4 linked regions of the Saccharomyces cerevisiae S288C genome follow. The protein of the gene in region 3 interacts with the protein of the main gene of each other region in a biochemical or structural test. Each region holds a gene or a part of one and is shown on either strand. Other genes may lie near its edges.

The links.
Region 1: of the proteins of IME2 (region 3) and SIC1, one has a biochemical effect on the other in vitro, tested with the Saccharomyces cerevisiae proteins (2 studies listed by BioGRID).
Region 2: of the proteins of IME2 (region 3) and NDT80, one has a biochemical effect on the other in vitro, tested with the Saccharomyces cerevisiae proteins (4 studies listed by BioGRID).
Region 4: of the proteins of IME2 (region 3) and RIM4, one has a biochemical effect on the other in vitro, tested with the Saccharomyces cerevisiae proteins (2 studies listed by BioGRID).

The regions. Positions count from the first base shown.
Region 1 is NC_001144.5:284,300-288,579, forward strand, and holds SIC1 (cyclin-dependent protein serine/threonine kinase inhibiting protein SIC1), read left to right. Parts: upstream 1-2,520; coding exon 2,521-3,375; downstream 3,376-4,280. Other genes in the region: FMP25 (Fmp25p), read left to right, coding at 1-1,324; BOS1 (Bos1p), read right to left, coding at 1,437-2,168, 2,258-2,260; EMP46 (Emp46p), read left to right, coding at 3,617-4,280. UniProt on the Saccharomyces cerevisiae protein: Substrate and inhibitor of the cyclin-dependent protein kinase CDC28. Its activity could be important for faithful segregation of chromosomes to daughter cells. It acts in response to a signal from a post-start checkpoint.
Region 2 is NC_001140.6:355,060-360,362, forward strand, and holds NDT80 (transcription factor NDT80), read left to right. Parts: upstream 1-1,501; coding exon 1,502-3,385; downstream 3,386-5,303. Other genes in the region: EPT1 (bifunctional diacylglycerol cholinephosphotransferase/ethanolaminephosphotransferase), read left to right, coding at 1-1,022; YHR125W (uncharacterized protein), read left to right, coding at 3,799-4,104; ANS1 (Ans1p), read right to left, coding at 4,643-5,122. UniProt on the Saccharomyces cerevisiae protein: Transcription factor required for successful completion of meiosis and spore formation. Gets activated after completion of meiotic recombination at the end of prophase I.
Region 3 is NC_001142.9:218,554-224,191, forward strand, and holds IME2 (protein kinase IME2), read left to right. Parts: upstream 1-2,836; coding exon 2,837-4,774; downstream 4,775-5,638. Other genes in the region: pheromone-regulated protein PRM10, read right to left, coding at 1-303; YJL107C (uncharacterized protein), read right to left, coding at 300-1,463. UniProt on the Saccharomyces cerevisiae protein: Protein kinase which is essential for the initiation of meiosis and sporulation.
Region 4 is NC_001140.6:54,842-60,708, forward strand, and holds RIM4 (Rim4p), read left to right. Parts: upstream 1-1,807; coding exon 1,808-3,949; downstream 3,950-5,867. Other genes in the region: SNF6 (Snf6p), read left to right, coding at 10-1,008; NPR3 (Npr3p), read right to left, coding at 4,282-5,867. UniProt on the Saccharomyces cerevisiae protein: Positive regulator of sporulation-specific genes and of sporulation. Required for premeiotic DNA synthesis and meiotic chromosomal segregation. May act in a nutritional signaling pathway.

The sequences.
Region 1 (4,280 bases), on a different chromosome or scaffold from region 3:
ATTAAGGGAGATTCCTCAAGTGCCTGCCTTTCAACTTGGAATAGATCATCCTGGTGTATACATATGGGGAAGGTGTCATTCTAAGGACTCATTGTTCCCTGTTAGAGTACCTAATTTGGATGGTCGTAAATTCAGAGATATCCTATTAGCTCCCTCTGACGATTTCAACACCAATTTTGCAATTGACGAGAAAGGCGATTTGATATCGTGGGATGATTTGGGACAAACAAAAACGATATTGCCAGATCAAGATTTGACCTCAATGAAGTATTCTAGTCACTTTTTGTACGCTTTGAATAAAAAGGGTGAAATATTGGTCATACCTATAAGAACGCCGGATCTGATAGCTTCGCAAGTATCATCAAGAAGGTCGAAATTGTTGCCATGGAAGACAAAACTAAGATATGATTGGAAATTACAAACAAATCAGATTTTCAACGGTAAGGAAGGAGAAAAACGTGTAGTACAATTTGACGCTGGTAGCCATCATCTGGTGTTGCTATCTAATTTAGGTAAGGCTTATTGCTGCGCGACGGGAAATGATCAAAAACAAGCTCAAGTATCCAAAGGACAATTCGGTATACCAACATTCTCACAATTCGATGAGTTTCCTCCCAATAATCAACTATTCGAAATTGAACTGCTGAACAAATTTAAGCATGAAGGAGAAGACGTTGTCCGCAAAAGAGAAATTAAAAAGATAGCTTGCGGGTCGTACCATACACTGGCAATAGATAAGACTGGTGAAATTTATGCCTTTGGCTGGAATAGGTTCGGCCAATTGGCACTACCTATTTCGTACAATCTAGAATATGTTTCTTTCCCAAGATCGGTAACGCATGCATTTAAACCGCATTTCCCGGGGATGACGAATTGGAAATGTGTGGATATTCATTGTGATGATGAAACATCGTTTGTGACCATTCGTAAGCCTGGCTCAACGTCAGACCATCATTATTTCGCGTTTGGTAATGGACTTTTTGGTGAATTGGGCAACAACACTTTCAAGAACTCGCAATGTGATCCCATAAAAATCAAGTCGGATGACAAGAAATTGACCAACTGGAGTTGCGGCTCTCATTGTGTGTTCACTGAAACTGAACAAGAAAACGAGGTCATTGCATGGGGTAATAACGACCATGGCCAACTAGGTATTGGAAAGAAAACTATGAAATGCGCTAAGCCAATGAACATTCCCGAAGTTCTCAAACCAGGACAAGACACGACAGATTTGGACTCAATTTATAACAGTAAATTACACTTAAAAAAGGAGCAACGTGTAGTCACCAATGGTAATAAAAGTTGCTTATACTGGCGGGTTTGAGAAACGAAAGAGCATAGAAGGAAAGTAGCGAGATTCGCGATGTTTTTTCAACCCTTATAATGATGCATGTATATATGGTATGTTTATTTATATATAGAACTCACGGTTACTTCTATCTTAACCATTTCAACACATAATAAATACCTATGATCAAGAGAATTAACGCGATCCAAAAGACTAGTTTATCTTTGAACACCCGTTTATTGATAGAGGTGATAGTTTGTTCCGAAACACCCAATGTTCTTAGGCCATTTGACATTCTATCTTGTACCTTGGATAAAATTTTGTTTTGTTCCACTATATTTTCGAATGATTGTTGGCCCATTTCTAGAATGTAATCTAATTGAGCGTTACCCCTTTCGAAAACAGACTGTTCCTTTTGTAGCCCTTGGTACAACGGTAGTCCCCCACCGTTGCTAGAGCCCTCTTTACCATTTGCACTCGCACCACCAACGTTCCTTTTATTCATGATGGTCTCTGATGTACTAAAGGGGTTATCGGAGTCCATAACATGCGATGCTCCTGAGCCAAACAACTGAGTTCTGGAATTATTTTCGTTGTAGGATTGTTTTAAATCCTTAAACTTGGCAGTAAAGTCGTGCAGATCCTGTGTTAAAGTTGCTAGTCGATTAGCGAACTTAGGATCAATTTCCTCTGCATTAGTATCTTCTTTATATCTGTTTAAATGTTCTGCATATTGCTTAACTGTTTTCTCCAGTGAGACCAGAGTTGCAGAGATGGACCCTTGTAAAGAAATAGGGGCGGTCACAGAATTCTTTTCAAACCTGGCCAACTCTTGTTGTAGTTGATTTTTTTGCTTCACAGCATGGTTGTAAAGAGCGTTCTATTTGATGGTAGTAGCAAAATACCCTGTTAGTATTACATCTTGTTTTAGCAATAATGAGAAAAGATGCCTCCGGCGATCAAACATACCATTCCCCCCTCAAATCAATATGATTAAGTCACGATAATATCTGCACTATTGCCGTGTTTCCTTCTCCATCGACAGCGTCGATCCTGTCTATTATAGCCAGCACACTGAAAATTTCAATGGCTGGCTTGTTGTTCGCGTCGCAACTTTTGATATTTATAAAAAGAGAGAAGGCATATCCAAAGGATAAGGTATTGTCTTTGTAAATCAATCAACCAAACCTCTACGGAATTTTGACCCTTGAAGCAGGGACTATTACACGAAAATGACTCCTTCCACCCCACCAAGGTCCAGAGGGACTAGGTACCTTGCGCAGCCTAGTGGCAATACTAGTTCTAGTGCCCTAATGCAAGGTCAAAAGACCCCCCAAAAGCCTTCACAGAACCTAGTCCCTGTCACTCCCTCAACAACTAAGTCTTTTAAAAATGCGCCATTATTAGCACCTCCCAATTCGAACATGGGTATGACCTCTCCATTTAATGGGCTTACGTCTCCTCAACGCTCGCCGTTTCCAAAATCTTCAGTGAAGAGGACACTATTCCAATTTGAAAGTCATGATAATGGAACAGTAAGGGAAGAGCAGGAACCATTGGGTCGTGTAAATAGGATATTGTTTCCCACGCAGCAAAATGTGGATATAGATGCAGCAGAAGAAGAAGAAGAAGGAGAAGTTCTTCTTCCCCCCAGCAGACCTACATCTGCCAGGCAGTTACATTTATCACTTGAAAGAGATGAGTTTGATCAGACACATAGAAAGAAGATTATTAAAGATGTACCTGGTACGCCCAGCGACAAGGTGATAACATTTGAATTGGCAAAAAATTGGAACAACAACTCTCCGAAAAATGACGCCAGGAGTCAAGAAAGTGAAGACGAGGAAGACATCATCATCAATCCAGTGCGGGTGGGTAAAAATCCCTTTGCATCAGATGAACTGGTCACTCAGGAAATTAGAAATGAACGTAAAAGGGCAATGTTGAGAGAAAACCCAGATATAGAAGACGTAATAACATATGTCAATAAGAAGGGAGAGGTGGTAGAGAAACGAAGGTTAACGGATGAAGAAAAGAGAAGATTCAAGCCAAAGGCATTGTTTCAATCTAGGGATCAAGAGCATTGAAGAAATGAAAAAAAAAAGTTTCTGGAACGATTATATTTTATTTACTTACTTATTCTACATTTATTTGCAAAGGGGCATTAACATCAACATTTTACATATTATAATATATACAGGATATTCTATATTACAACATTAACAGGATTTTTAACTTTTCCTTACCGTATTCTTTTATTCTGGTTTTCTGTCTTCAGAATAATAGCATATTTCATTGTAGTATTTCGTCAAAGCGAGTTAGGGGAGGATGACTACAAGAAAGACAGCTTCCTCTCTTCAGCTTTTAGGGAAAATCACAGGAACAAAAGCTGGAACTAAGCAAAAGAAGATGAATTTCATTAATGGACTGATATGGTTATATATGTGTGTGTGGATGGTACACGGAAAAGTGACGCAGAAGGATGAATTGAAATGGAATAAAGGATACTCGCTACCAAATTTGCTAGAAGTGACAGATCAGCAAAAAGAACTTTCACAATGGACTTTGGGTGACAAAGTAAAACTTGAAGAAGGGAGGTTTGTTTTAACTCCTGGAAAGAACACAAAGGGTTCACTTTGGTTGAAACCTGAATATTCAATAAAGGATGCAATGACAATAGAGTGGACGTTTAGAAGTTTCGGGTTCAGAGGCAGCACAAAGGGGGGTCTTGCATTTTGGCTGAAGCAAGGAAATGAGGGAGATAGTACCGAGTTATTTGGTGGAAGTTCGAAGAAGTTTAATGGTTTGATGATATTGTTACGATTAGACGATAAGTTGGGAGAGAGCGTGACAGCGTATTTGAATGACGGAACAAAAGATCTTGATATTGAATCCTCACCGTACTTTGCGTCATGTCTGTTCCAATACCAGGATTCCATGGTACCATCAACATTAAGATTGACTTACAATCCACTAGATAATCACTTGTTAA
Region 2 (5,303 bases), on a different chromosome or scaffold from region 3:
CATTATCAGGATTTGCTTTTATAGTTATCAACGTGTTGACTGTATTCTATTACGATCCAAACCTTAACACAGATACGCCTCGCTGGACATATTTTTCTTACGCTTTAGGTGTATTCCTATATCAAACGTTCGATGGATGTGATGGTGTACACGCTCGCCGTATCAATCAATCAGGACCCTTAGGAGAACTATTCGATCATAGTATTGATGCCATTAATTCTACTCTGTCTATTTTCATCTTCGCATCCGAAACTGGAATGGGATTTTCGTATAACTTAATGTTATCCCAATTTGCGATGCTGACGAATTTTTACTTAAGTACTTGGGAAGAGTACCATACACACACATTATACTTAAGTGAGTTTTCTGGACCCGTGGAAGGCATCCTGATTGTTTGCGTTTCATTGATACTGACAGGTATATACGGAAAACAGGTAATCTGGCATACCTACTTATTTACAATTACAGTTGGTGATAAGGTAATTGATGTAGACACTCTAGATATTGTTTTTTCCCTAGCTGTTTTCGGTTTGGTTATGAACGCATTGTCTGCGAAAAGAAACGTGGATAAGTATTATAGAAACAGCACTTCTTCGGCCAACAATATCACGCAAATTGAGCAAGATAGTGCTATAAAAGGTCTTTTGCCCTTTTTTGCCTATTATGCAAGCATTGCTTTACTAGTGTGGATGCAACCAAGCTTTATTACACTCTCTTTCATCCTTTCCGTTGGTTTCACGGGAGCATTTACCGTCGGAAGAATAATCGTTTGCCATTTAACTAAGCAGAGCTTTCCCATGTTCAATGCACCCATGTTAATTCCTTTGTGCCAGATAGTATTGTACAAAATATGTCTATCCCTTTGGGGAATTGAGTCTAATAAAATCGTCTTTGCCCTATCTTGGCTTGGGTTCGGTCTCTCACTAGGTGTTCACATTATGTTTATGAATGACATTATCCATGAATTTACTGAGTACCTGGACGTTTATGCTTTATCCATCAAGCGCTCCAAGCTGACATAAATCGCACTTTGTATCTACTTTTTTTTATTCGAAAACAAGGCACAACAATGAATCTATCGCCCTGTGAGATTTTCAATCTCAAGTTTGTGTAATAGATAGCGTTATATTATAGAACTATAAAGGTCCTTGAATATACATAGTGTTTCATTCCTATTACTGTATATGTGACTTTACATTGTTACTTCCGCGGCTATTTGACGTTTTCTGCTTCAGGTGCGGCTTGGAGGGCAAAGTGTCAGAAAATCGGCCAGGCCGTATGACACAAAAGAGTAGAAAACGAGATCTCAAATATCTCGAGGCCTGTCCTCTATACAACCGCCCAGCTCTCTGACAAAGCTCCAGAACGGTTGTCTTTTGTTTCGAAAAGCCAAGGTCCCTTATAATTGCCCTCCATTTTGTGTCACCTATTTAAGCAAAAAATTGAAAGTTTACTAACCTTTCATTAAAGAGAAATAACAATATTATAAAAAGCGCTTAAAATGAATGAAATGGAAAACACAGATCCAGTATTACAGGATGATCTCGTATCCAAATATGAGAGGGAATTAAGCACAGAACAGGAAGAGGATACGCCTGTTATCCTTACGCAGTTGAATGAAGATGGCACCACTTCGAATTATTTCGACAAAAGGAAACTAAAAATTGCCCCTAGATCAACACTACAGTTCAAAGTGGGACCTCCATTTGAATTAGTGAGAGATTATTGTCCAGTCGTTGAGTCTCATACCGGAAGAACACTAGATTTACGAATTATTCCAAGAATTGACAGAGGGTTCGACCATATTGATGAAGAGTGGGTAGGTTATAAAAGAAATTATTTTACCTTAGTATCAACGTTTGAAACGGCAAATTGTGATTTGGATACTTTTTTAAAGAGCAGTTTTGATCTTCTCGTTGAAGACTCTTCAGTAGAAAGCAGATTAAGAGTGCAATATTTCGCTATCAAAATAAAAGCTAAGAATGACGACGACGACACGGAAATCAATCTCGTCCAGCATACAGCGAAACGCGACAAAGGTCCTCAATTTTGTCCTTCAGTATGTCCGTTGGTGCCTTCCCCTTTGCCAAAACATCAAATCATAAGAGAAGCTTCAAATGTTCGAAATATCACTAAAATGAAAAAATACGATTCCACTTTTTATTTGCACAGAGACCACGTTAATTATGAAGAATATGGAGTGGACTCTTTATTGTTTTCCTATCCAGAAGATTCTATTCAGAAAGTTGCCCGTTATGAAAGAGTTCAATTTGCTTCATCAATTAGCGTGAAGAAACCATCCCAACAAAATAAACACTTTAGCTTGCATGTAATTTTAGGTGCAGTGGTAGATCCAGATACCTTTCATGGGGAGAATCCCGGAATTCCTTATGATGAACTGGCTTTAAAAAATGGATCAAAAGGGATGTTTGTGTATTTGCAAGAAATGAAAACGCCTCCTCTTATTATTAGAGGAAGATCACCTTCTAACTATGCGTCATCTCAGCGAATAACTGTGAGAACACCGTCGAGTGTCAATTCCTCACAAAACAGCACAAAAAGAAAAATGCCATCAATGGCGCAGCCGTTAAATGAAAGTTGCTTAAATGCAAGACCTTCGAAAAGGCGATCCAAAGTGGCGCTAGGTGCACCGAACTCTGGGGCCTCCATCTCGCCTATCAAATCTCGTCAATCCACACCAATGGAAGCTTCGAAGGAAAATGAGGATCCGTTCTTCAGGCCAAATAAAAGGGTGGAGACTCTTGAACATATCCAGAACAAACTGGGTGCTTTGAAAAATCAATGTCCAGATTCCTCTCTGAAATATCCGAGTTCATCTTCAAGAGGTATGGAAGGGTGTTTAGAAAAGGAGGATTTAGTTTACTCAAGTAGTTTTTCTGTTAATATGAAGCAAATCGAACTGAAACCGGCACGCTCTTTTGAACATGAGAATATTTTCAAAGTAGGCTCATTAGCATTCAAAAAAATCAATGAATTACCTCATGAAAATTATGATATAACAATAGAGAAGAAATCAATGGAACAGAATTATCTAAGACCAGAGATAGGCTCACGTTCTGAATGCAAAACAAGCTATGGTAACGAACTCTCCCTTTCAAATATTTCTTTCTCTATACTACCTAACTCAGCAGAAAATTTTCACTTGGAAACTGCACTTTTCCCAGCTACGGAAGAGGATGTGCCAAGGACATTTTCAAGAATATTAGAAACAGGTTCGTTTCAAAATTATTATCAAAAAATGGATGCAGAAAATGCAGATAGGGTATATTCGAAAGGGGTCAAGTTGATTGCAAGCGGTACTCTACCATCTGGTATATTTAATAGGGAAGAATTGTTTGAGGAAGATAGTTTCTATAAGTATTAAATAAACTAATGATTTTAAATCGTTAAAAAAATATGCGAATTCTGTGGATCGAACACAGGACCTCCAGATAACTTGACCGAAGTTTTTTCTTCAGTCTGGCGCTCTCCCAACTGAGCTAAATCCGCTTACTATTTGTTATCAGTTCCCTTCATATCTACATAGAATAGGTTAAGTATTTTATTAGTTGCCAGAAGAACTACTGATAGTTGGGAATATTTGGTGAATAATGAAGATTGGGTGAATAATTTGATAATTTTGAGATTCAATTGTTAATCAATGTTACAATATTATGTATACAGAGTATACTAGAAGTTCTCTTCGGAGATCTTGAAGTTCACAAAAGGGAATCGATATTTCTACATAATATTATCATTACTTCTTCCCCATCTTATATTTGTCATTCATTATTGATTATGATCAATGCAATAATGATTGGTAGTTGCCAAACATTTAATACGATCCTCTGTAATATTTCTATGAATAATTATCACAGCAACGTTCAATTATCTTCAATTCGGCTTCAGTACTGTATGAAATACTCGCTAACATTTTCTTTATTCTATAATAGCACAGTGACACTTAAACGTCAAACGTGGCGCACATTAATATACGATGTATGCATTTGGCTTGACACTGCTGTAATAAGGAACATCATCATCCGTCAACTAGTAGTCACATTAGTAGTGTATTATCACATGGTGTGTAAGAACATTACGTAAAGATTGAAAAAAAGTCATCAAAAATAAAGGAAGCTGAAACGCAAGGACTAGTAGTGTAATAGAATAATATTGTGTAAAAGTATCGATACCCTTTTTGGAATTATTGTATCTTCGAGGGTGGCTTTTAATATATTTTTGAAAACCTAATATTATAACCTTTCACAACAACGAAATCCCAACTGTTGTGTAATAATTTTACTCAATTCTTACTATTGCTTTACCAATCCTTGTATTTGAGCTCTCATAAAGTTCGCTGACTACTTCTCACGACTCATGTCATCTCCTTATACTGTATATGATAATATACTGGTGGTGAATGACAGCAAACTCTTTCTGGAAAACTTCTTGTCCTAAAGAACAAAATCAGTGTAATGTGTAGGCCAGTGTTATGTTTTCATGAATATGACATCTGATAAGAATAAAACAACTGGTAAAATGACTGCTTTTTCGGCTTATAAAATTCTAACATGTACATATTTTTTATAAAATGAAAATACTATTGTCCTTAATTGTACAATTTTTACATTTGGAGGCCAAATTATAAAAATAATAGCGCTGCTACTCCAACTATATAACCCATGTTCTTGGATTCAACCTTCATACCAGCACCTTCATAGACAGAGACATTTGCGGTACTACTTGGGGTAGTAGCAGCGGTAGTCTCAGGTCCAGACGCAGTGGCTTGGATTTGACCATCACTGATCTGTGAAATAGCGGCATCTTGCTTTTTGCCGGGTTGATGATCTGCAACAGCGCTTCTATTGGAACGATACAATGAGCCATTCCAACCACCCACATCATATACAGCTGCATTAGATATCTTTTTCTGCTGAGCTGCTAAGGACCAAGATGCGCTGCTGTTGAAGGCTTCATCAGTCGAATTAAATTTTCCTTCTATGTACGAGTTCGTACTATTCGCAAATTGTACGTCCAACGTGTCTGAGGAGTTGCTTACTTGTGCATGTGCAACTAGAATATTGGTGATGGCAAACAATGTGGAAACTAAAGTGCACTTCATGGTAGATTAATTATGATGTTCGTTTGATTCTGTTCTATATTTTTTATATGCTGACTGAACAGATTATAAAAATTAAATTACATGAAGTATTGAAGTTAATGTTGGCTATTTTTGAGGAGGAGGTTCACCTTTATATAGTATTCCTCGAGCTACAAAAACATGGATATTTTTACAAATGCTA
Region 3 (5,638 bases):
CACACAAAGCCCCATAAAAAATGAGATTGCCAGGTTTACCCAATCGCCACCAAAGGCATACGGAGTGACCATAGCGGAACAAAATGCATATAAAAGAACACACATCCAAGGTGGATATAGATTCGTGTCAGCCAAAATTTGATCGAGTAAAGCATTACCTTCATCGGCACCTAAGGTATCATGGACAACTCTTTTGTAAACGGCATGAACTTGATGCAGCTTCCAAAGGTTTAGACCTTGAGTACACCTAACCAATTGAACTTCGGAAGTTCTTGTTGTTGCATCACCAAATGAAACAATCATACAACCTGGAAGATACAAAACTGACCATCTATTTCAAGGACTCTAGAAGTCATAACCATATATTCTTCAAGCCTATGCGTCGGAGCACCATACATCATAAGAGCTCTACACATGCGTAGGATGAACCGGTGTCTTTGTAAAATGTCTGCAATGTGAACCGTAATTTTCGCTTCAGTTTTTAGTCTTTTCTTCAGTCTAGGCATTCTGCCTTTTTTAGCCTTGCCTTTTAAATTTTGTAATCTGCTACGCTTGGCAACTGGTACGTCTTTGTTTCCAGCAGTAGAAGAAATACCTTCATCATCTGTTGTTACAGCTTGTGAATCTGAAAAGATTGAGCTTGAATTTTGATCTTCATTTTGGTAAAGTTTCAATAATGACCCTAGTACTCCACTTTTCACTTGAGATGGAGGGGGTACGTATGTGGAGGTTTCAATAAACCCTTCGTTATCGTCGGATGAATTGTTTTCTGCATAATCATCAAAATGATCCACTGCAGGAGCCAGAAATGAATTTTTTGAACTTGAGCCTAACGTTTCGCCATCCGACGTACAATTTACGTCACCTTCTAATTTGAGAGCCTCCAGTTTTTCTTTATCGTCGCCCTCATGAACGTCTACGATTTTAGACGCATCAGCTAGATCGGATAAGGGAATTTCTTCATTACGGTTATTTTTTTCTATATCATTCTTCCCATTTTCATTTTCTGAAGGTATTGGTGCCAAGCCAGGGACCAAACCCCCTTGATTTCCAGTCAGGTTATTTATTATCTTCTTGATGAACGTCTCATCGTCTCCATCCTTACCATTGTTCCTTAAATGTGTGAAAGAAACTTTAGGCTTCCTCTTGTGGCGAGCAGGCCTATCTTCTTCATCTTGTCCATCTGTGCCCTTAGAATTATCGCTGGTTTCTGTAGATCTTGAAGACAAATCATTTTCTAGAGCATCCGTATCAGCAGTGAATCTTACATTTTTGTTATCATTATTAGAAATACCTAGATCACTGATGCTTTTACCACTTAAATTGCCTTTTTTGCTCTCGGCTGAATTGGAAGTGCGATGGTCACTACTATCTTCAAGATTCACTCCCGCTTGACTTTGCTCGGAGCTTCCCACCCGAAAATCTGACACAGGAGTGGTTGGTTTTTCATTTCTACCGTCCATTGTATAGCCTATCGGTTATTCGATCTTTTTTCTTTTGTTATTCTATATCTAAAAGATAAAAGTCGCACACCGCTAAGTAAGTAAGTAAGTGTTATATAAGATTTATTTAGCTACGTTCTCAGATATAGTAGGCTTAAAACAAACGTAAAACATAGTTATATATTAATATGCAATTCGGTTTATTTCTTTTTCAAGATTCTTCCGAATTTCGTCATATTGGGTTCGCAATTTTTGGCGATGGCTTTGCTTCGATATTTTTCGGATGAAAATAGTCAAAGGACACTAGAAACACGAATGGCGCGCTGATTACGGAGACGTCGGGCTAAGACAAAGAGGGTCCATTCGGCGTGCTGGTGGTACTGTGACAGATAAACCCAATGCCCCACTTTTCTCGAGGAGTTGAAACAAGCGGGACAACTGCTACGTCATAAAAATGGGAGTACCAAGGGAGGAGCCATAAGCCGGGTAAAATTTGGCGCTGTTTTTCTTAATCTAAAAATAGTTCAACAATAAAATTTGGGCTCCGCCCATCCAGACCAAAGCAATCTTCGGCCTTAACAAGCCAAAGGGAACGAAACCCAGACTCTACCATGCATTTCGAACATGTTGTAGCTAACTACACTGGTAACCCAGATACCTATTCTCTCAGTAGCTGTTTCACCAAGACTCCGCACTCATGGTAAGTAGAAAAAGAAAACTCTCACAAAAATCTGAGTGGCACAGCTTTTCCAAATACGCTTTTTAAACTTGGAGAAATAAAGATGTATTACCCGCTGGTGCCTTAAAATATCCTTTTCTCCGGTTGTCCAATAATTTATGTTACGGCGGCTATTTGAGTTTTTGTGGAAATCTCTATCATTAATAAATGTCAGCCTTGTGTCTTAAATGCAATTCAACAGGGAAAAGGCGCGAGACTTCGGCGGCAAAAAGCCACAGACAAGTGCTGGTTGCAAAGAGGTAAAGAAGTAATGTGTGTAATCAAATAGATATATTAAGGTAGCAACTCACCGGTCTGTCCATTTTCTTTTCCTGAATAACTTCTTCTGTCTTCACACATTCATTTCATTTTTATTTTCCAATATCACTCAACGAGAAAGAAGTTACAAGATCTATCTTTCAAAATAGTTTACAGTTACCTTTACTTTACCCTTTCCCTTTTCAGTTTGTTACCCCTTCTCCTAAAAGTTTTATTTTTTGGGTAAAGATATAAAGGACACTCCAGTCGGTTAAGGTGGCTGTCTAGAGAATATAAACCTGTATTTATTTACCAGGCTTATCAGAAAAGTTAATCGTGTTCTTAAATATTCATTGAAAAGGAACGTGATACAGACGTAATAAAAGAAGAGTACTAAGCTTAACTTAATAGGTCATTTATGGTTGAAAAACGTAGTAGACAGAGTTCCAGTAGTGGCTCAGAGTTCAGTGTTCCACCTGATGTCGATAACCCGCCACTTTCTATCCCTTTGAAGACTTTATCAGACAGATATCAGCTGATCGAAAAACTAGGTGCAGGATCATTTGGTTGTGTAACTTTAGCCAAAGCGCAATTTCCTTTATCGAACATATTGGGTAAACAACATGATATAAGGGGTACTTTAATGGATCAGCCTAAAAATGGTCACCAAAACTATATAACAAAGACACAAGGTGTAGTGGCTATAAAGACAATGATGACAAAACTGCATACACTCCAGGATTATACGAGGGTCAGAGAAATTAAGTTCATACTGGCAATCCCAGCGAATGACCATCTGATACAAATTTTTGAGGTCTTTATTGACTCTGAAAATTACCAATTACATATCGTAATGGAATGTATGGAGCAAAACCTATATCAAATGATGAAACATAGAAGGCGCCGAGTTTTTTCGATTCCTTCTTTGAAATCTATTCTATCGCAGATACTGGCTGGGTTAAAACACATCCACGAACATAATTTCTTCCACAGAGATTTAAAACCTGAAAATATTCTTATCACACCAAGTACCCAGTATTTTGAAAAGGAGTACATGAACCAGATTGGATATCAAGATAACTATGTCATTAAACTTGCAGATTTTGGTTTGGCACGCCATGTTGAAAATAAAAACCCGTATACGGCCTACGTTTCCACAAGATGGTATAGATCGCCTGAAATATTATTAAGAAGTGGTTACTATTCCAAACCTTTGGATATTTGGGCATTCGGGTGCGTGGCGGTGGAAGTTACTGTATTCAGAGCTCTCTTCCCCGGTGCTAACGAAATCGATCAGATATGGAAAATTTTAGAAGTTCTTGGTACACCTATCAAACGTTCTGATTTTGTTAATACAAACCACATCACAGCTCCACCACCTGGTGGATTTTGGGATGATGCCAGTAATTTGGTCCATAAATTAAACTTGAAATTGCCTTATGTAGAAGGTTCATCGTTGGATCATCTACTTTCTAGCTCCCAACTATCCGATTTATCTGAGGTTGTCAAAAAGTGTTTAAGATGGGATCCTAATGAAAGGGCAACAGCCCAAGAGCTTTGTGAAATGCCATTTTTTGAAAACACCGTGGCATCCCAAGTAGACGCAAGAGGCAATGTGACTAATACAGAACAAGCATTGATTTTTGCAGGTATAAATCCAGTAGCGACCAACACAAAGCCCATATATTTTAACTCTTCAACAAAATTGCCCGCAGAAACAGAGTCTAATGATATTGATATCAGCAACAACGATCACGATTCTCATGCTATGTGCTCACCAACATTAAATCAAGAAAAACTAACTTTGGTAGAATTTTTAAACGAATTCGTTGAAGAAGATAATGATGATCACTCAATACCTGATGTTGGAACAGATTCTACCATTTCAGATTCTATTGATGAGACTGAATTATCAAAAGAAATTCGTAATAATTTGGCCCTTTGTCAACTACCAGATGAAGAAGTCTTAGATCATTCATTATCGAATATTAGGCAGTTGACAAATGATATTGAAATTATAAATAAAGATGAAGCAGACAACATGGAACAGCTATTTTTTGACCTGGAAATTCCTGAAAAGGATGAGTTTCAGAGAAAACAACCATTTAATGAACATGCAGATATTGATGAAGACATCGTTCTACCATATGTGAACAACTCAAATTACACACATACAGATAGGTCACATCATAGAGGTGATAATGTTTTGGGTGATGCCTCTTTAGGCGATTCGTTTAATTCAATGCCAGATTTTACTCCAAGAAATTTCTTGATACCTACATTAAAAAAATCACGGGAAAAGTTCGAGCCTCATCTATCCAATTCAAACCAACATTTTGGAAATGTAACCTTCTAATAATTTGTCATTTGACTGACGAATCGTTAGGCACAGTTATATAGTTATATACACATAGACATACATATGTTCGCATATATATTATATTACTATGCATTCACCTAAATAGCTACTGCTCTATTAATACAGTGCTTTTTCGATGGCTTTAATTTAACTTATTAGACATTACTTTGCGTTTATTCCCCTCCAATATATTTTTATGTTTGTTTTTCTTGAACATTTTATGATTTCTTGCTCTTGGCGGCTACTGATTTTGTTAAGCAACTCATCAAGAGGTCAAAAAAAGTAGAACGAGATCTTTGTGTTCGGTTACCCGGCTCAGATCCTAACTTGGTATGTTTATTCGTATAAGTTACTGTTGTCCACAGGCAATACTCTGCAGAAAATTAAAACGGCATTAATGCTAGGACAACCAGAACTGTTACTACTGTATGTGCGATAGTTGATAACTGCAACATTATGCCCGGTATATTCTCAAAAAACCCTATTACTGCATACGAAGAAATCGCAAGAGAAATCTTTCGGTTTGGAAAAGCTCACTGTGAGGTTCCTTGGAGCCAATAGTAATACAGCACAATCCAAGGAAAAATCTGGCCTATATGCAAGGAAGGAGAGATAGTCAAAAGCATTCTTTCCCCTAGAAGTTGGTGCATATATGGCATCGTTAAAACATATTACCCCCAAAATTTCTTCTCTAAACGATGTGCTTGGCCTTTGTTTTGGTTTTTGATGTCGGTCGTTTGAGGCCCCTTGCGGAAAATCGAGATCGCCGAATGGCACGCGAGGGAAGGGAAATAAGGTTTAAAGGCACTGAAACAATAGGCAAGAAGTAGGCGAGAGCCGACATACGAGACTAATGTGTCC
Region 4 (5,867 bases), on a different chromosome or scaffold from region 3:
AGTAAAATAATGGGTGTCATCAAGAAGAAAAGATCGCACCATGGAAAGGCTTCGCGCCAACAATACTACTCTGGGGTACAGGTTGGGGGAGTAGGCAGCATGGGCGCCATAAACAATAACATCCCGTCGTTGACGAGCTTCGCGGAGGAAAACAACTATCAGTACGGATACAGCGGCTCCAGTGCCGGCATGAATGGCAGATCGCTTACGTACGCGCAGCAACAGCTTAATAAGCAAAGACAGGACTTCGAACGTGTACGACTTAGACCAGAACAGCTCAGCAATATCATACATGACGAGAGCGACACGATATCGTTCCGATCCAACCTTTTGAAGAACTTTATAAGCTCGAACGACGCATTTAACATGCTGAGTTTGACCACGGTACCGTGCGACAGAATTGAGAAGTCCAGATTGTTCAGTGAAAAAACAATAAGATATCTCATGCAAAAACAACACGAAATGAAAACACAAGCGGCAGAGTTGCAAGAAAAGCCTCTGACGCCACTTAAATACACAAAACTTATAGCTGCGGCAGAGGACGGAAGCCGTAGCACAAAGGATATGATAGATGCTGTCTTCGAGCAAGATAGTCATTTGAGGTACCAGCCGGACGGCGTGGTCGTACATCGTGACGATCCTGCGCTGGTGGGTAAACTCCGCGGAGATCTCCGCGAAGCGCCGGCGGACTACTGGACGCATGCTTATAGGGATGTTTTGGCGCAATACCACGAGGCCAAGGAGCGTATCAGGCAGAAGGAAGTAACTGCAGGTGAAGCACAGGACGAAGCCAGCTTGCAGCAGCAACAGCAGCAAGATTTGCAGCAACAGCAACAAGTAGTGACTACAGTTGCCTCGCAAAGTCCTCATGCAACTGCAACGGAAAAGGAGCCAGTACCCGCCGTGGTTGACGACCCACTGGAGAACATGTTCGGAGATTATTCCAATGAGCCGTTCAACACCAATTTCGACGATGAATTTGGAGATCTTGATGCTGTATTTTTTTAATAGCCATGGGCGGCTACTTCTTGGAAATATATACTTTCCTTTTACATATTTAGTATAGTTATACATGTGGATGTGTATGGAGGTAAGATCAGATAGACCCTTCACTGTTTTCTGTGTATTCCTTGTGACATAGTGGATTTGTGCAGCTACTGCTTATAGGAAGCAGTGCCTGCAAAACAATTCATTCGTTGGTTGATGTGGCGCGCTGACTGAATGTGTAGGGTCTGTTGTTACCCCCTTGCTCCGGGGGCCCACATCTCTCTGACGCGAAGAAAGGCTCGAGATGTGCCAGTCGTAAACACCGCCTCATTTCCCTTGCATTCTCCTCCAGTGAAAAAGCAGTACGACCTATCTCCGAAAAAAAAAAACCTCCTGTGCGTTTACTGTGGATCATGCAACACGATTTCTGTAGATTAAAGACGTTTTTGGCATGGACTAAGCTAAATTCCGTTTGATTAGCCGCCCATAACGGGTGGCAAACAACACGATGAAACTCTATATCCCCGCTTAACGTTTCGGCGGCTGTGATCAAGGAAAATAGTATATAAGTTCGTCGGATTTCTTATTTGTTTTCTCTCTTCCTTTCTCTCTCCCTTTCTCGTGCTTGGTTGTTTTCCTTAATTAGTTAAAACAATAAAAGAACAAGAAGGAGAAGGCGATTTTGGACTAGAAAATCACGAAGAAAAAATATCTAATTGCATTCCTATATATATTTATATACATACTCTCTATTGTTTGTTTTTTGCCTGCTCAAGAAGAAAGAAAGAAAAAAATATTATCTTTTTTAGCTTGTTGAAACATGAAAACCGAAATCAGCACTGCGGATTCCCTTCGTGATCCTCCCTCTAATGGTCTAAAGGCCGACTCTGAGCTGGTTATCAGAGAGGATATAGACCAATTTTTGCCTTCGGAAGTATCTTCGTTGGGGTCAGATCACCAGAATGATGGTGAGGATTCAGACACTGACAGTGACAACTTTTTGCAAGACCCTGAAGACGATGTGGATGAAGAAAGCACTGGTAGAGGTACAGTCACTACCACTTCCACATCCACTGAGTCAAGAGGCCGTCCATCTTCTTGTATCTTCGTGGCAAGCTTAGCAGCAGCCCTATCCGATGACGAATTATGTCTGTCGGTGACTGAAAATTTCAAAAAATACGGTGATTTGGCTAGAGTTAAAGTTTTGCGTGATAACGCAAATAGACCTTATGCTTTTGTTCAATACAACAACGATCATGATGCTAAACATGCTCTGATCCGCGCTCAGGGTACTTTATTAAATGGCAGAAGGTTGCGTTGTGAACCTGCAAAAGTGAACAGGACATTGTACTTGAAAAACCAGCAAAGTATTGATTTCAACGAGATCAGTCAAATTTGTGAAAAATTTGGTGGTTTGGAACAGATTGTTCCTGATAGAACTGATAATCAATACACGAGAAGATATACTTATCCGATATCTTCGGCAAATTCTTGGTTTGTTCAATTCGTTTACAGAGACGATGCAATCAGAGCTTATGCGAATTTACGAACTGATCCCAATTGGATCATCGAATGGGCACAAAATATAAACGTCCCAAAAAATTATAACCTTTTACACAAAAGCAAATTCAAAAGTTCCAAATACCATCAAAACAACGGTATTATCAATAACGATGGTAGTAACAACAACGATAATAATAATAGTAATAATAATAATAGAGAGGATTCAAGGAGGAATGGCGACGTTATAGAAGAGGAGTGCGGACATGTGCATGGTAGTGATTCAGAGGAAAAATTGACAAGCGATGGTATTTATGACGACGAAGATAAAGATTCCGAGATCACCATTGATAAAAGATCCATTTTCGTGGGTCAATTAGACAAAGAAACCACCAGAGAGGAATTGAATAGAAGATTTTCCACTCATGGTAAAATCCAAGATATTAATTTAATCTTCAAGCCAACAAACATATTTGCGTTTATTAAATATGAAACCGAAGAAGCTGCTGCTGCTGCTTTGGAAAGTGAAAACCATGCAATTTTTTTGAATAAGACAATGCATGTTCAATATAAAGAGGTAGGTGGTCGTCACAACAGGAAGTTCTCTGGTAAGAACGGTGGCAGCAACTTTAACCATCATCAGTTTTTTAGCACCAGATCGGGCAAAACATTTACAGGGCCAGAACTGAACTTAGCACCACCACCAATCAACATGTACAGGAAAATGAGCGGCGGATCCCAGCAGGAAAGCGAAACTATGATGCCATACATGCCCATGGGGCCCATGCCCATGGGGCCTCCACCACCAAATGCAGCAAGTCTCAGTGATTTTGATATGTTCCCCCCAAGTTACTCCACGTTTATGAAGGGAATGATGCCATTGAGGCGTAAATCTATGCCCAATTCTTGGTCATCCCCTTCTTCAAAGAGTGTGAACTCTGAAAATGAAAGTGTTAATGGTGGTGATGAGAATTCCGAATTGCCTTCCGAAATTCCTGAATCATCTGGTAGATATAATGCTGCTAATTCCTTTACCACATATAATAATTCCTCAGCAGGAAACTCTAACAACAACAACAACAACAACAACAGTAACAGTAATAAGTCTCAATATAAAAAGCGCTATGCAAGGAGGTCAAGCTACGGATACAATGAAGTACCTCCAAAACCATACTATTTCCAGCCTTATTACTATCACCCCATGCAATACCATATGGGCCCAATGGGCCCATTGCATCCTTCTCAAGGTTCTGCTGGAAATCACCATCCATATATGATGGTTTATCCCATGTCACCACCTCCGCCTTCTGGGTTAGATGGAAGCATGATCCCTCCTCCAATAAATGTAAGCCAATCACATGCTGCTAATCATGGCAGTACCCATGTTCATGCGAACGAATTCATATCAAACGATACTGGTGACATAAATGAAGATAACAAAGCTTATAGTTTAGATTACTAAAAATGATTGGTCGTAAAAGCTGCAAAAGATGTATGTAATTCAGCGGTGATGTTAACTTTAAAAGTGCAGTTTCGTTTTCTTTTTCGTCTCCCTATTTTTTTCTCTGGATCTTTTTTTTTTTTTTCACTTGGTATTGTTTTCATCCTTCTTTCCTTCTTTTACCTTCTTTGTCTCCTAATATAACAATACATACTTTCGAGTTTTGATTACAAGTCACTCGAAATGTTTTTTTCCTTTTATATATTCTTCCTTTTGTCTATTCTTATATACACATATTTTAATTTTTGGTAGATTTTTTTTTTTTTACTTACATTTTGTTACAATAGAGAGATTTACCAATGGTGTATCTCGATTAAATACTTATCTAGAGCATTGAGCAATTTCTTTAGGTCATGTCTGCTAATTTCCTCTTTGATGATAACCAATTCCATGGGGACCTTTCCATTGAAGTACTTGAGCAACTTGTTAAAAAGAATCTGGATATCTGAAGGCTGACCATAAATACATCTATAAAGCCATCTTTTTTCAATCGCAGTGGCTCTTTCAGGTTCCAAAATTATAGTATAGTCATGTTGCATTTCTGGATCATCGTATTCGAAGTGTAGTATTTCTTCTTCATCCGCAATAGCTATTTCATTGTCATCACGATCATCAACACGACTATCATTTTCGTTATCTTTTTCGTCCACATCTTTGTTGTTGTCGTTGGACTGCATGCCTTCATTCTTTCCTGAACACGCTTCGCTGGCGTTTGCATCTCTACTTTGCCCATCTTCATCATCCAGCTTTTTATCAGTTTTTTTGTAGTCCATGCTGGGCCTTCTAGCAGTATTAGTCTTACGGAAGCCTTCCTTTTCTAGATCCTCATCTACTGCCATTTTTATGTGTTTGTCCACTCGGATATTTATGAAAGTCAATAATTGGGTTACATACCCGTACTGTATTAACCACGCTAACGCGTTCAGGTAAACTGGCTTATGTTCCCTTGATGGGATTATGTTACTGTACGCTTGAGGTTTGTCCGTGGACAACAAACTTAAAAAAATGGGTAAACTGGGCAATGATGGGAATTTGGATCTGAACAACATCGAATTTTGATAAATTAGTGGTACTCTGTCGCTTCCACTCTTATTATTTTCGCGATCGTCCATTTTTTTCACGTTCCCATCATTTTGTGAAGTACTTTTATAATCATCTATTGTATAACCTTGAATAGGAGCCAAGGGTGAAACAATATACGTGTATTTGGAGCTTAGTGGGATCACTATTCTTGCATGTCTCCAATACATTAAATGCAATGCGCAAGAGCGCAGTATGCTTGATTCCAATGAGTTTGTTTCTGTAGTAAGGTCGTCCAGTGAAGAAGGGTTATCTAATAAATCAGTTATCAGATAGCGATACGACCTTAGAGGGATATTTGGCTGGATATTTCTGACTAAATGTTTCAATATGATAGTGCCAATATCGTCCTGGTATGAAAAAGTTTCGAGGGAGCTAATAATATTATTTGGCTCGTCCAATAATAATAGCGCATAGTTTAAAAGGTCATCATTGTCGTCGCAGTAGTAATTGCTTTCATTGTCGTCCCCGTCATCCACATTTGCTGCTCCACAGTGGCCGGTACTATTAATATTATTGCCAAACCTGTATATGTTATTATTGGTATCACTGAATTGAGCCTGATCGTTTTGACGATTTTGACTTTCAATTCTCAATGATGATTTTTCTAAAAATTTCATGTTCAAAATGGACGTCAAATATGAGCCTCTTAGCACGGGTTGCAGTTTGAAGTTTGGCATTTTTTCAAACTCGTTTTGAATCGGGATTTGCAAGGAAATTACTTTATCGTCATTGATCTCAAGACATGCGATTTCATTTCGTTGGATTTTATCAACACATTCCGTTAGCGCCCTAGCCA